3 linked regions of the Caenorhabditis elegans genome follow. The protein of the gene in region 1 interacts with the protein of each later gene in a pairwise test. Each region holds a gene or a part of one and is shown on either strand. Other genes may lie near its edges.

Region 1 (4,182 bases):
TCCAACCCCGAAATCATCTGCAATTAATCACTTTATATTTTCCACCAATCGAAGAAATTGTGAATTTATCGTCGCCCTCTTCTCAATTAAGATCTATTGTCTTTCAATCAATCATAGAGCACATCGCCTCCCTTCTCACATGCCCCACCATTCCATTTTGTTGCACACAGTTTCATTCTGTTGTCTAAAACTGTTGTCATCTGCCTGATGGTCGGGGGTCCCGTCTCATTTTTTAGTGTCCCGTGCAAATAAATGTGTATGTTTTGCCAAATGTTTTGAGAGGTTTAGAGCGATAATACGCAACAGTTTGGCGGCTCTTTTTATGAATTTGATGGTCTCTAGGTCTTACAGTAGATCTATTGAACCACTCGGATTATTGTGCTTTGAAAATCAAAATTGGAATTTCACATATTTCGACGGGTTTATGTGTTAGACTACTTTTTATCTCAAAGCAACCAAAAGCTGGTACAGTAACCTGAAATTTTTATTCGTTGCTTACCAACCGATTCCGAATTTCTCTCTTGCAGAATTATCGCATATTGTCACTTCTGCTCGAATCAGTTTATTTCCTATCTAGAATGACCTCACCAACTCCTTCTTCCAAATATAGGTTATTCTTCCCGGTTCTATCTATCTCTCCCTGTCTCCTCTCTTGTAGCCAAAGCGAACCGTCGAAAACGCAGCCTGTTCCTCTTTTCCTCGACAGCGTCCTCTTCATCAAAAGAGCCTGTGAATCGGCGAGACGTAGACAATCAGAGAGGGAGCCAAAAAGACGGGAGGACCCCTCCCGCGCGCGCTTGTCTGCGCACGGACCAGTTCACCCCTGCCAATGGTGTTGCAGTGGTGTGCTCACTCCCCCTCCACACATACATCACAGCGTTCTCTTTCTTCTCCAGTCTCGTCGCCCCGTTTTTTGGGTGGTCCGTTCTTGTGGGCGTGTGTGTGTATGTGTGTATGAGAGTAGGATAGTGCTTGGCGTCCCGGCCATCGAATCGATATTTTTGTATTAGCAGTGCGATTTTAACTTTGACAACATTCCCATCTAGGGGCTCCCACGTCGCTCCCAATTTTAACCACTTTTCTAGTTTAGCTCGTAACTTTGAAAACTCTTTAATTAATTTTAAACTTTGTATTGAATATAAATATGCTATTTCTTCCCGTTGCAATTTGATATATTAATCCTCTAAACTTGGGAACCCGGCAGGTTACACATGATCCTCGAACGTTTTTTCTGGTTCCTATTCATTAATTCATCTAATACAAAACTATAATAGCAGACAGCTGCTGTCTATTTCTAAACTCAGTGGATCATTGTTTGTTCCTCAGTGTCTGCCTCGCGCGCCGATCTTCCGATCCATCTCTCGCACATGCACCACTTTTTCGTTGGCTGTGGTCCCTACAGATGTGTGACTGTCTTTGTATTGAATGCTTCGGAGACGACTGAATCTTCGTATTGAATCTTCGTTTAATCAGCTCACTGTTTTTTAATACATGTTCATCCCTCTCTAATTCTTCATACATCTTCCATTCCCATTATTTTCATCTACCGTATTTCCTCATTTTTGAAGATCTATGAACGTTTCTGTGCAAAATTGGGTAGATAACTCTCAGGTCACACTATCTATTTTTCTAGAATTTTTTTGTTGTTTTTTTTGTTTTTTGTTTTTTTTCTGAAGGTCACTTATAAGTCTTGTGATCTACGCACATTTTTCAAAAAAAAACTAACAGTGCAGGCTGTAATCTCTAAGTTTAAGTTCTTTTATTTTCTACTTCTTTACATTTATGTTCTAACTTTTCAGAATGAACCTTGCGTCTCAAATTTCTCAAGCAAAAACAGGAAATGCAACTATGGAATGGGCAAAGAACTACGTATCAAAATTGAACGATGGTCAACTGGCTCTTTTGCAGAAAATGTACGCAGATCACCAAGCAAAACTGAAAGCTTCAGAAGATGAAAAAAAGAAGAAAGAAATGGAAGAACTGAAAATGAAAGCACAGCAACAGGCGATCCTTGACTCACTTACACAACAAATTCCCATCATGGTTGATGTCCTCCGATCTTCGACTTCTCCAGATTCACAGCCAAGCAGTAGTAGCAGTGTTATGAGCAGTACCGATGAAGACCAAATTGTAAGTTTTCACTTAAACTTCAATTTTTTGAATTTATAAAGTGTAATATTTTTGTTTAAAATTTATCGTTTCTAATCTTTATTCATTTCAATTTACAGACAGTGAAAGACGTGCTAATCGGAAAAATCAACAAGGCTCAGAGACAATCTTCACCGAACAGCTCGAAGCCGTACACTCCACGTGGAATTCGTGAACGTGTACTTTTTGATGAACATCTCTACGTGTTCGACAAGTGCTCATATGATAGCAAGAAGAGATTCTTCAGATGTGAACGAAAGAATACTTGTCCAGCACGTATTCATACACCATTTGATGCTGAACGAGTCATTCATAAAGTACAAGTTCACAATCATCCACCACCAACTACTTTTGATCTTGCACATTACAATATTGATTATGGAAAAGTCAAATCAGGACACATCTTATCTCTCAATGGGGTTAGTTTTATTTTTTATTTCTAGTTTCATTAGAGTCGGACCATCCTAAGGCTGTTTTTTAGAGTTGGAATCATAATTATCTTTATCAAAATGTTTAACTTTTCAGCCTCAACAAACCAAGAACCTATTGCCACCATCACTTCTCACTCCAAAATCTGATTTGGAAGATGAAACTCTTTCTACAAAAACTGAACAAAAGAATGCTTCAACAATGAATATTCTTCTAAGTATGACAAATAATTGCGATGGACGTAAACCAATCACACTTCGACTTCCTGATCTTTTTAACAAGATCTCAGAAATGGAAATACACGATATGGAGATGACGTTGACAAAGTTTTTGTTGGAGAACAGAGAATTGAGAACTGATTTGATTAGCAGAAATGGAGATCTTCCAGTATTCTTTCCAAATGCACACAATGATGAACTAGTTCTCTTTGTGGCTGATCAACATGAAAATGATTCAGTATTTCAAATGATTCGAGTTTCTGAAAGGAATGAGGTAAGTAAAACAGTGAACCTTCGATTTGAACAGTACAGAAATCGGAATTTTTCAGAAATCAATTCGTCAAGCAATTCAAGAACACCTTCAAAAAGTATCCAATCGTTCACTAATGATGAATATTTCATCCAAAATCAATGTTCCCCTATCACAGCAAATGATCGATCAATGGAGAACCGAGGAATTTATTCGATTAGATTCCTCAAAACCAAACTTTTGGAAAATCCATCATGTTTCCAAACTTCAAGATTAAATTAACTATGTTTTTGTTTATTTTTATTATCAAGTTCATATTCAATGTACTTCCGATTGCTAGTTATTTGTACTAAAGAGCGCATATTGCCCTCAAATATTTCATTCCCGACCCACTTTCATTTTATCGGGTGCTCCATTCCAAACTTTCATCGATTCGAAATTTGTATTTCACGAGTTTTAAATTATTTTCCAAATGATCTCTTTTCATTGTATCGCCAATCTTCCTCCTCTTCTTGTTTGGTTGTCATTTTTCCCTTCATCTCTCTAACTTATAAACTAACCAAATACGGAGTTATTTTATAAATATCAGTATTGAAAAAGTTCAATTGAGAAATCATAAAGAGATTTCCTCGCCTCGCCGTTCGGCTGAAACGCCCTGGCAAACTTTGACATCTTGTTAAAGGTGGACTACGGCCTGTGGGGAAAATAATTAAAGCACATTACAGGTCCTGAATAGCAAAATATCATAATAAAACTTTTCAAAAAAAAATTTCCAGGATTTTTCAAACGTTTCATCATGACATTATACCAAATCAATGGTTTTTTGATTAATTTCCCCACAGGTAGTCCACACTTTATGAACATTTCTAGAAGCACTCCATTTTTGCAATGTACACAATCTTTAAAATAGCAATTATTCAAAGAAAAAACACAAATGGATAAGTTCAAAACTTCAATTTCCATGTATCTGTTCTAATACACAATTATACGGATAGATGTAAATAGCAAATGTTTAAGCGGCATTTTTAGTGTAAGGTTATATATACAAAATTACTATATTGCTCCAAAAGTGATCTGTCACCCGGTTAGGTTTTTGATTCCAATCAGTTTTTCACATCTAATAGTAAGCGAGTTGTA
Region 2 (4,771 bases), on another chromosome or scaffold:
TGTATAAAATAGGCCACGCCTCACTTTTTCCACACCCATCATCTTCCCTCAACTTTCCTCTTCTCAAATGCCTAATCAGCCAGTTATAACGAGGGTGCTCTTCGTGTGGCGCCCCGCCCATTTTATTGCTCCTCTCACGCTTCATTCTCACTTTTTCTGGGGATCCTTTTTTTTGCAGACCTAAAAATTTGAGCTCAGCCATATTTTTTTTGTAAATATAATCAAAAAAAAATAGACATTAGTCAAAAAAGTTGTTTTAAGCCTAAAAAAATTTTTCAGATAAAAAACGTTTTTCTTTAACTTTTTTGAACAGTTTTTCAGTGAAATATTTTTAAATTTTTATTTTAAAAAAATGTTTGTTTATCTAAGCCTAAGCCTGAGCCTAAGCCTAATAACCCTAAATAGCGTCAGTGTGGGAGCTCACGCTCCCCCACTGACGCCAAGCCTAAGCCTACGCCTAAGCCAAAGCCTAGGCCTAAGCCTGGGCCGAAGCTGAGACCTAAGCTTAAGCCTAAGCCTAAGACTAAGACTGAGTTCAAGCCTAAGCCTAAGACTAAGCCTGAGTCTCAGCCTAAGCCTAAGCCTAAGCCTAAGCCATTTTTAAAAAGCTTAAAAATTTTTGCAATTACTATTTTTTCTGAAAATCTGTAAAAATATCGAATTTTTAGAGTTGCTATAAAATTTAAAATAATATTCAAAAAATAATCCGAAAAAATTAAATTTTTTTTCTCAAAACGTAGATCATACAGAATCAGCTTTAAAAAATTCAAACCATTTTTCGTTTCAAAAATGTTCAGAAAATTTGTAAAACTTGAGTTTTGAAGAAAGTTTTCATAAACTAGCTCTTGAATAGGGTTTTTAAGTAGGCGTTAAAACGCTTGCCTGCCTGACCTTCAGGCGACTTTCGCCTGCCTGCTTGACTTTCAGACGTTCTCTGCCTGCCTGCCTGACTTTAAGGCGACCTCCGCCTGCCTCTCGCCTCAATCCGAGCCTTATCTCTTAAAATGTTTTTCATCAAATTGATAAAAATACGGAAATTACAAAATTTTGTAAGTTCATGCCAAAATGCAGGCATCAGGCCCTGAGGCCACGCCTGCCTAGGCCTCCGACTTTCGTTCTACAATTGTCGTTGCCGTTTCCTTTATCCCATTTTCATACCCCAAAGTTATGATTTTTCTTACACCCCTTGCGCTGCTGCTGCTTCCGCTCCCGTGATCTTATGAATCAGTAGTCAGAACTGCAGGTGTGAATCTCCACAATGATCACCCAATAAACGCGAAACACCATTAGAAACAAAGTGTCCCCCGTTTTTTTTTTCTGAGAGTGTCGGCACCCCCCTAACATATGCGGGGAACATTGTCTCAAGTTTTGTGTGCTCCTCCAGCTCCTCCATATGGTTACCGTAGTCCCCTGTCAGTGTTGTGTAATTGTTGTTGTAACTATCCCCCGAATACCTCTCCTCACATTCATTCACAACACAGGTGTCAACTCAACTCTCAGTGCTCATTTGAAGTTTATGAAGTTTAGCTTCCGGGGATGGCTCTCCTGGGCTCCCCGCTCCCTCGAAAATTTAATTAATTGCAAGCACATGTGGTGGTGGTGGGGCGAGCTCCGCGCTTCCCCCCCCGCCCCGATTCTCTCTCTCTCATTTGCGACTCATTAGATTTTAAATCACTCTCAAACTTTCCACTTTTCCAACTTTCGCGTTTTTTAAATTTTTTTTTCACTTTTTCCTCACAAATTCATCCAAAAAAATTTCCAGAGTTGCCCCGCCCATATATTGGCTAAATGGTAGAATGGACGTGGCACTTTTGACAATGGATGACAACAACAAACCGCCGACAAGTTCAGAGTCTACGGAGAGTAGGGGTGAGTTTGGCCGGGGGACCGATAATTTTTAGGCCAAGACTTCTTTTTTTTTAAATCATTTTCAAAGGTACGTTACCTTCACGTGGTGCCAGGTTGTCCCATTGCTTTTTGATCTACAGAAAATGCGGGATTTTTTCCCCAAAAAATGTGACATAAGCAAGTTTTTAAATCTTTTCTCCCGCATTTTTTTGTAGATCTACGTAGATCATACTCTGACACCACGTGTACCTTGAACCTCCTGGCTTTCTGAAACTAGAGTTCGTCGCTAGAGCGCATTTGCATTGTCGTGGTATTTAATTTACAGTACCGCCAGAATCATGTCGCGCCGCTTGTAGTCTAGTGGTTAACACGCTTCAGCTCTAAACAATAGGTCCGGGGTTCGATTCCTTGCAAGATGAAATTTCTTTCTCAAGATGGAGGTACATATGTGCTTTAAATGTGCACTAGAGATAGCGAAACTGATACCATGGTCCGACATGTACAGGGTTCCGCGCGCGCCTAGGGCCTCCAAAACGCCTGCTGCTCCAGTTTTGCGGCGACCTCCGCCTAACTCGCGGCGCGCCTTCTGTATAGTCACGGCCTTCTGTCTTCCCTCATAAATTGAAATGGAAGAGTTTTTGCCGAACTAGGCCATCTTGGCTCGGTCACATCTGGGCTCGATTTTAGTTGTAAAACTAAATGTATTTGTCCGTGTGGAGTGCACGACTTGCCCACGCGTTGACCGGCGGGCGATTGCCAATGGAGCGCGAAAAATTCAATAAGGAAGGCCAGAACCCCGTGTATAGTGCCGCGCGTGGAGCCCGAAAAGTGTCAGCCGCGGCGGAAGAACCACATTCCATAGGACTAAAAAACTAAAGTTCTCTCTTTCAGAAACATCACCACCAATGATGCCAGATTCTGCGGAGATAATGCGACTTCTTACGGATCCTTCGACGGCTCAGATGTTTGGTAGGTCATAGATCAAATTTTTTCCGCAATTTCCCGAAAAATTTCAGCCAACGAAAACACAAAATGTCAGCTGGGACGGATTCTCGCCGCGTCAGGCTTCGACGAGGCGAGCCTCTCCTCCTCGTTTCCGTTCGATCCGACGCTCGGCGCGTTCGCCGACATTTCCCAATTCTCATCACTCCGAAATTCGTCGAAAACGCTGAAATGTCCAAAGTGTAATTGGCACTACAAGTACCAGGAGACCCTTGAAATTCATATGAAGGAGAAGCACAACGATGTGGATGTCAAGTGCATGTTTTGTGCCGAGAACCGTCCCCACCCGAAGCTGGCTCGCGGTGAGACGTACTCGTGCGGTTATAAGCCATATCGATGCGATTTGTGTCGGTACAGTACGACGACAAAGGGCAATTTGAGTATTCATATGCAAAGTGATAAGCATCTTCATGCAGTGCAAGAGCTCCCGAATAGTATAGGTAGGTGGGGGGGGGAGGCGAAGGGTACTGTAGTTTTCGTGGTGGGACCCAAGAATTTGAATTTCACAAGAATTTAACTGTTGAACTCGAACTTTTCGATTCTAGGGTCTCGCCACGCAAAAACACTTACGCCAACTTTTTTGAACCCTAAAAAATGATACTCAAATTAGAGTTCTCAGTGAGCTAAATTCGATTTTACAGTATTTTTTTAATTTGACGTTCTGTGGGTCTTACACTCAAAGGGTACTGTAGTTTTCGTGGTGGGACCCACTTGTCCAAAAATGGACGTGATTATATTTGGATTAAAGCCCCTAACTTTTCTGATTTTTTTAATAAATTGGTTTTATTTTGAAAAGACTGAGAAAATTGAGTTTAGATCGAAATCAATAAAAATCGCGTCGAGACCCAAATTTCCCGGGTCTCGGCACGAAAATGGGGGAGAGGGTACTGTAGTTTTCTGGCTTCTCTCATAAATTGAAATGGAAGAGTTTTTGCCGAACTAGGCCGGCCATATCTGGGGTAGATTTACGGCGCGTTGCGTGTCGCGGCTCAATTTTTGTTTTAAAACATGAGGAAGACCAGAATCCCGTGTTTTCGTGGTGGGACCCAAATGGGTCATGATTATACTTATTTGAAAGGCCTTAAGCTGAATTCAGATTTAAGATTTTTATTATTTTAATTCAAAAATATCCTGAATTTTCCAGAATTCGCAGCCAACTTCGCGTGTGGTGCTCCAGTTAGCCGAAGTAGTCCAATCGAAGAGTCCGACGGATCCCTGGTCTGCTTGATCTGCGGTATCTTCGCCACCGAATCTATCGCCGAAATGATGGAACACGTGGAACAAGACCGTTCCAGGACGTTCCAAGGAGACGTTACCGTCCTAAACGGGAGCTTCCGGTGCCACTTGTGCCCGTATAATACCACATTGAAAGCCAATTTTCAACTACACACAAGGACGGATAAGCATCTGCAAAAGGTTCAAATTGTGAGTTTTGTATTCCCCTCTCATCATCTTCTTATTTTTATTGTGTCGCCCTTTTCCCATTTTTGTGTGTCTGTGTGTGTATGCGCACCGATTTGCATATACACATAAATTCATGATTTAATAGCGTAATGAGTAATATTTGCTTTGCCAAGGCTAACAGTTTTCGTATTTTAAAGCCTTTTTTCTACAATTTTTGAAAAAAAAATTCAAAAATTTGAACATTTCAATATATCCCTAGAAAGCTCAAAATTGTAGTGAAAATTTTGAATTCAGTACGCTGAGACCTTTAAAATAAGTATAATCATTACTAGGTTTTGGTTCTGACGCGAAAGTGTTCGTGGCGGAGCCCAAGCAAGGCGTAATTGATTATAGGGTCTTTGCACGCAAAAAATTTAAGGTCCGGTAGGCGTGGCGGGGAGTTTTTCTTGAATTATTTTAGTTTTTCATAAATTTTCAATTTTTTGGAATTTATTTTTCTCTCCCTTCCCCCGCGTAG
Region 3 (6,737 bases), on another chromosome or scaffold:
TGCCAAACTTGCCAGAAAATTTCCATTCCGAAAAATTGCCGGTTCACCTAACTTGTCAGAAAATTTCCATTCCGAAAAATTGCCGGTTTGCCTAACTTGCCAGAAAATTCAATTATGGCAATGTTGCGATTATCGTTTTGAAATTCTGAAATTTCCAGAAAATAAACTTGCAAACCCACAACTTGCCGAAGTGTTTTTTTCCGGCAAATTGCCGATTTGCCGCACTTGCCGGAAATTTTCCTTTCCGTCAAATTGCCGAATTGCCGGAAATTTCAATTCCGGCAATTTGTCGATTTGCCGGAAATTTACAAATTCGGCAATTTGCTGGTTTGACAGAAAATTTCCATTCCGAAAAATTGCCGGTTTGCCTAACTTGTCAGAAAATATCCAGTCCGGCAAATTGCCGGTTCGCCGAACTTGCCGGAAATGTTCCATTCCGGCAAAAATATTTAGACTACAAGGAGAATAAATGAATAAGAACACATTTTCAAAAAGTACAACCATCGGATAAATTCCATAATTTATTTAACAACAGATTCTTTATCATCATTATCATTTTGTAACAAACACAAATTATCAGCAACAAAACGGCACAGCTCTTCCAAATCCAAAGTTTTATTGTTTTTAATTAGTTGATCTAACATGTCTTTAGGAATTGAGGTGACTAGGGGAGCAGCTTTTGGTACCGTTTGCTTAACATATTCGTCTGCCAACTCGGCAAGTTTTGTCTCACGATGATGCTCCTGTAATAAGTTATTTTTAAAAAAATATTCTGGAAAAATTTACAATTTTATTGGGAAATTCTAAAAAATGAACTAAAATTACATGATTCGTCTCGAAATAAAATTTTTTTCAACTAGAACTTTAGGCTAATTTAGGCCAATTTTTGAGCATTCTCCCCAATGTTTCAGTTAACGGGATTTTCTTCATTTTGACTGTTTCAGGTAAGAATTTATATAAACGAACATGTTCATGTGCAGATATTTGATACAAATGCTGTCTCCACTCCATTTGCTGCTTTGCTCGGATTTTTCGGGAACCTAAAGTCCCAATTACTCCGTTTTTTAGACGTAGGTCTTCAGCAGCTTTTTCAAATTCTTCTCGAGCACTGGCGAGCCTCTATAATTTGGTTAATAATTTTAAAATTGACTTTTCAAAAGAAAAAGTCGGAAATTCAGAAATTCCACAAAAAAAGTTTAAAAACGGGATTTACAAACTAAGGAGAACTCCCCGACCAATCACCATCTTTGAACTACGCCCACTCGATCTGATTGGTGGAAAAGTGGGCGGAGCAAATCGCTGATTGGTCGCAGTTCTCAGTTTTGCATTTTTGAAAAAACTCAAACTAAAGTAGGACTTTTTTATTTATTCGCTATTTTTTTGACAAATCGGCAAATCGGCAAATTGAAAAATTCCGGCAAATCGGCAAATTGAAAATTTTCGGCAAAACGGCAAATTGAAAAATTCCGGCAAACCGGCAAATTGAAAATTTCCGGCAAATCGGCAAATTGAAAACTTCCGGCAAATCGGCAAACTGATGGAATTGAAAATTTCCGGCAAATCGGCAAATTGCAGGAATTGAAAAATTTCCAGCAATTCGACAAATCAACAAATTGCCGGTATTGAAAGTTTCCGGCAAATCGGCATATTGCCGGAATTTATAATTTCTGGCAAATCGGAAAATTGCCGTTATTGAAAATTCCCGGCAAATCGGCAAATTGCCGGAATTGAAAAATTCCGGCAAATCGGTAAATTGAAAATTTCCGCAAATCGTCAAACTTCAGGAGTTGAAAATTTCCGGCAAATCGACAAATTGCCGGAATTGAAAATTTCTGGCAAATCGGCTAACCGGCAAAATAAATTTTCGGCAAATTGGTCACTTTTTTTTTGAAATTTAGAGAAAAAACCTACATGAAAATTCAAATTAACAGTTTCATCCTGTGCAAACATTTCAGCAAACTTCTTATTCAATTCCATTTTCTCATTTTCATATTCCAATTTCAGCCGTTCTACTCCAATTTCTGACATCATTTTTCTCAAATCCACTGCAAAATTCGCATTTTTCTCTTTTATCGCCGTTTTATTTTTGAGAAGTTGAATGCGTTTTTTGATTTGATTACTTCGAATTTCCGCATGCTTTCGTTGATCTTTTTTCTTTTGAACACACTTTCGGGCGTACTCACGGTTTTTGGCCATTTGACGGTGACGTTCCTGAATAATTTGGATTTAAAATTGATATTCTTGCCAAAGTTGAAATTTCCGGCAAATTGGCAAATTGCCGATATTGAAATTTCCAGCAAATCGGCATTTTTTGTCGAAAATCAAAATTCCGGCAAATCGGCAGTTTTTTGCCGAAAATCAAAATTCCGGCAGATCGGCAGTTTTATTGCGGAAAAGCAAAATTTCCGGCAAATCGGCATTTTTTTTTTGCTGAAAATCAAATTTTCCGGCAAATTTTTTTCGGGCAAAATTGGGAAATCGAAAAATTGCCGGAATTGAAAATTTCCGGCAAATCGGCAAATTGATGGAATTGAAAATTTCCGGCAAATCGGCAAAATCGATGGAATTGAAAATTTCCGGCAAATCGGTAAGTTTCAGGAATTGAAAACTTCCAGCAAATCGGCAAATCAGCAAACTGCCGGAATTTAAAGCTTCCGGCAAATCGGAAAATCGGTACATTTTCGGAATTGAAAACTTCCGGCAAACGGCAAATCGGCAGTTTTTTTTTGCCGGAAATCATAATTTTTTGCAAATCGGCAAACCATCAATTTGCCGATTTGCCAAATTCGTCGACAAAAAAATTTGCTGAGCCCCAATTGCTATCCTGATTTGAGTGAGGCTTTTCAGAAAAATTTGGAAATTATTTTCAGATATAACAAATCTTTTTCTACACTACAAAAAATAGGCGTTAGGCGGGCATGTACATCTAACCTAAATTTTGTACTAGAAGTTGTAAAAAATCCACACAAACCTGTTCTCTCTTGTCCATCTTACTCGGATCTTTATTCAATTTCTTAAATTCCTCTTCCCACTCCAAATCCCCATCTGTATCCATCTTTGAGTAGCCTTCATTGTAATTATTATCAGTGTACTCATCTTCTATATCATCCAACATCTTCGCCTCTACTTCTTGTTTTATCTCCACTGGACCCATGTTTTGCAGTTGGCTCATTAAAAAGTTGAATACAAAGTTCTGGGAGCCTGACGATTCATTGTTATCTGACGACTCGTGTTCCAGCTTTACCGAATTCTGGTTGTTTTGCGTGGAGTCAAAGTGTTTTAGAATCATGTCACGACTGCCACTTGTTTCGTTATTCATTCTGTAAAATTTGGAATTTTTTGGTCTTGTCTGAAACTTTCGGGCCAGGCCCAATTGTGCATTTTAAAAAATTTTTCGCATCGTCTTTCGCTTATTGGTTCCTCGTCTTTCGCTTATTGGTTCGCGACTGTTTTTGTAACGAACTTATGAGAAAGTTTGCTGATTCTTATCAAAACACTAATTTTGCCGATTTGCCAGAAATTTTGATTTTCGGCAAATTGCCGATTTGCCAGAAATTTTAAAAGGGATTTTTCAACATTAATGTAGGAAAAAAGTTTGCCGATTAAAATTGAAATTTTGAAATTTCCAAAAAAAAAGTGCAAAATCATAATTTGCCAAACATTTTCGGCAAAAGGCGTTTTTCCGGAAATTTCGGCAAATCGACAGTTTGCCGCTTTTCCGATTTGGCGGAAATTTTTAATTCCTGCAATTTGCGGATTTGCCCGATTTGCCGGAAATTTCAATTCCGGCAATTTACCGATCTTCCGGAAATTTTAATTCCGGCAATTTGCCGATTTTCCGGAAATTTTCAGTTCCGGCATTTTGCCGATTTGCCGGAAATTTTTAATTCCGGCAATTTACCGGTAATTTTTAGGTCCGGCAATTTGCCGATTTGTCCGATCATCCGGGAATTTTAATTCCGGCATTTTACCGATTTAAAGGAAATTTCAATTCCGGCAATTTTCCGATTTGCCGGAAATTTTAATTCCGGCAATTTGCCGATATGCCCGATTTGCCGGAAATAGTTAATTCCGGCAATTTGCCAATTTACCGGAATTTTTTAATTCCGGCAATTTACCGGTAATTTTTAGGTCCGGCAATTTGCCGATTTGTCCGATCATCCGGGAATTTTAATTCCGGCATTTTACCGATTTAAAGGAAATTTCAGTTTCGACATATTGCTGATTTTCCGGAAGTTTTCAATTCCGGCAATTTGCCGATATGCCCGATTTGCCGGAAATAGTTAATTCCGGCAATTTTCCGATTTGCCGGAAATTTTAATTCCGGCAATTTGCCGATATGCCCGATTTGCCGGAAATAGTTAATTCCGGCAATTTTCCGATTTGCCGGAAATTTTTAATTCCGGCAATTTGCCGATATGCCCGATTTGCCGGAAATAGTTAATTCCGGCAATTTGCCAATTTACCGGAAATTTTTAATTCCGGCAATTTGCCGATTTGCCGGTAATTTTTTATTCCGGCAAATTGCCGACTTGCCGATTTCGCCAAACGACAATTGCCACCCACCCTGTTTTGGACGCGAGATATACATACACGTCGCCAGCAACCGGCAATTGCCAAAGTTTCTGCAACCGGCAGCTTCTGGTTGCGGAAACTTCGGAACTTCGGCAATTTGGCCCCTAATGTAAGAGCCCTGATGCCCATCGTGAACTCACTGATGCATTCAGGAATCTACAGTAATCATCAAGGGCGGAGCTTGATCCTTCCATATTTTCCTAACCAAAATTTCAAAACATACCTATCCCCAGTTCCTTAGATTCAAAATCGTCGTTGTCAGTCAAAAAAAAGGCAAGAGACCAATGGTGGGGGAGACAGTGTGTGTGTGTGTGTGTGTGTGATAAGAGAACACAACTTCTTGCTAAGAAGAGTGAAGACAGTGAATGCATGATGTTTGCCTGCATCATGACATCGTTTGATTGTATTGAATAGAGGAGGAGGGCAGCATCAAAAAAATGAGAAATAGTCAGAGGAAAGATGTGAGAGCCTTAGAGAAAACAGAGTAGGAAATACTGTGCGACATACTTGGTATCTGAGCAGTGGTTGAGACAGTGGGGGGGGGGGGGGACAGTGAAGGTGATTAGCAAGATTGATAAGAGACTGTTGATGGGGGATGGGCACTGATTGCTGTAATTTCCAATACATCGCAATTGTACATTCGATGGATGTAAATGCAATTGACAGATTAATTAGGTATTATATTGTATAAAAATGGGTTGGAAAGGCATATCAAAAGCTGAAAAAAGGTATCTATAGAAACCCATTCCAAAACCAAATTTCAGAAGCATCACGTGGTGCTAGGCTGTCCCATTACGGTTTGATCTACAAAAAATGCGGGAATTTTTCGCCCAAAAATATGTGACGTCAGCACGTTCTTAACCATGCAAAATCAGTTGAGAACTCTGCGTCTCTTTCCCCGCAATTTTTGTAGATCAAACCGAAATGGGACGCAATGAAGCATTACAATGAAGCATTACAGCGAAAAATGAAAGATAAATCTTTCCAGGACATGTAGCAAAAGCGGTTCTGTGGCTCGAGAAAGGTTTGAAAAAATGAAGAACAATGTATTCTTGAGCAGAATCCATGTAATATTTTGGTAGTTGAAACCCTGATTTTAGAATTTATCCAAATGAATTCTCGGAATTTTCAGTTTTAATAATATAATTCATTAGATTCACAGTGAAGTGAAACCTGATTAAAAAAGGATTAAAGGACGAAATATAATTTTTGTCTGAAGCCTACAGGAAAAATGTTTCATTGTTGAAGTGGAAATTTTCATTTTCGACAATTTGCCGGTTTGCCGGAAATTTTTGTTTTAGACAAATTGCCGATTTGTCGGAAACGTTCAGTTCCGGCAATTTGCCGATTTGCCGGAAATTTTCAGTTACGACAATTTGCCGATTTTCCAGGAATTTTCAGTTCCGGCAATTTTCTGATTTGCCAAAAAAAAATTACGGCAATTTGCCGAGTTGCCATTTGCCGGATATCAGATTTGCCGGAAATTTTTAGAGGGGTTTTTTTAAAGACGGAAACACTTAAAACTGTGCCTTTTTGAAAAATTCGTTTCCTGTTATGTTTAGATATTTTCATAGAACTTGCTTTTTTATTTTGACAAAAATTTCCGGCTATTGCAGTTTTTCAATCCGGCAAATAGACGATTTGCCAATTTGCCGATATGCTGTAAATTTTCAAATCCGGCAATTGCCGTTTTTCTGGCCAATTCGGCAAAAAGACATTTTGCCGATTTGCCGATTTGCCGGAAATTTTTAATTCCAGCAACTTGCCGATTTGAAATGTGTTTTCCAAGTCTACATTTAATGATAAAGTATAGAAAAGTATTTGATTTGATTGAAAACAACTATAATTTGGATTGGAAAAACTGAAAAAGTGCTGAAAGTTTATCTGGAAGTTGAAACTGCTCGAAAAAAAATGTAAACCTTTAAAAAAATTTTCGAGGACTTTTCAGTTTTTTAAATTTAAAGGGTGAAGTAATCTTTAGTAGTAGGAAAACTAGTTTTCAAAATCTTTCGTTTTAATAGGAATTTCAATATTTTATAGATTGACCAACCTAAAAAAGCTTTTTTTCATCAAGTTTTATTATCATATTGCATCCAGTTTTCCAGTTTTTTTTCTAGAATTCACTAAATTTATCAAAAATAGCGGCCCATGCAAATTTCCGG

What was found. The genes of interacting proteins can lie anywhere in the genome.
Region 2: the proteins of flh-3 (region 1) and zfh-2 interact in a two-hybrid assay, tested with the Caenorhabditis elegans proteins (one large-scale study listed by BioGRID).
Region 3: the proteins of flh-3 (region 1) and zip-12 interact in a two-hybrid assay, tested with the Caenorhabditis elegans proteins (one large-scale study listed by BioGRID).

The regions. Positions count from the first base shown.
Region 1 is NC_003282.8:9,268,297-9,272,478, forward strand, and holds flh-3 (FLYWCH transcription factor 3), read left to right. Parts: upstream 1-1,799; 5' UTR 1,800-1,800; coding exon 1,801-2,130; intron 2,131-2,228; coding exon 2,229-2,567; intron 2,568-2,673; coding exon 2,674-3,069; intron 3,070-3,124; coding exon 3,125-3,322; 3' UTR 3,323-3,642; downstream 3,643-4,182. UniProt on the Caenorhabditis elegans protein: Probable transcription factor. May bind to the promoters of target genes, including micro-RNA genes, in order to repress expression, and acting redundantly with flh-2.
Region 2 is NC_003279.8:801,606-806,376, forward strand, and holds the start of zfh-2 (Zinc Finger and Homeobox), read left to right. Parts: upstream 1-1,762; 5' UTR 1,763-1,796; coding exon 1,797-1,869; intron 1,870-2,194; exon of another isoform or gene 2,195-2,267; intron 2,268-2,739; coding exon 2,740-2,817; intron 2,818-2,864; coding exon 2,865-3,290; intron 3,291-3,994; coding exon 3,995-4,275; intron 4,276-4,771.
Region 3 is NC_003281.10:12,326,047-12,332,783, reverse strand, and holds zip-12 (BZIP domain-containing protein), read right to left. Parts: upstream 5,118-6,737; 5' UTR 4,838-5,117; coding exon of another isoform or gene 4,799-4,837; intron 3,321-4,798; 5' UTR 3,320-3,320; coding exon 2,972-3,319; intron 2,212-2,971; coding exon 1,912-2,211; intron 1,120-1,911; coding exon 967-1,119; intron 744-966; coding exon 522-743; 3' UTR 510-521; downstream 1-509.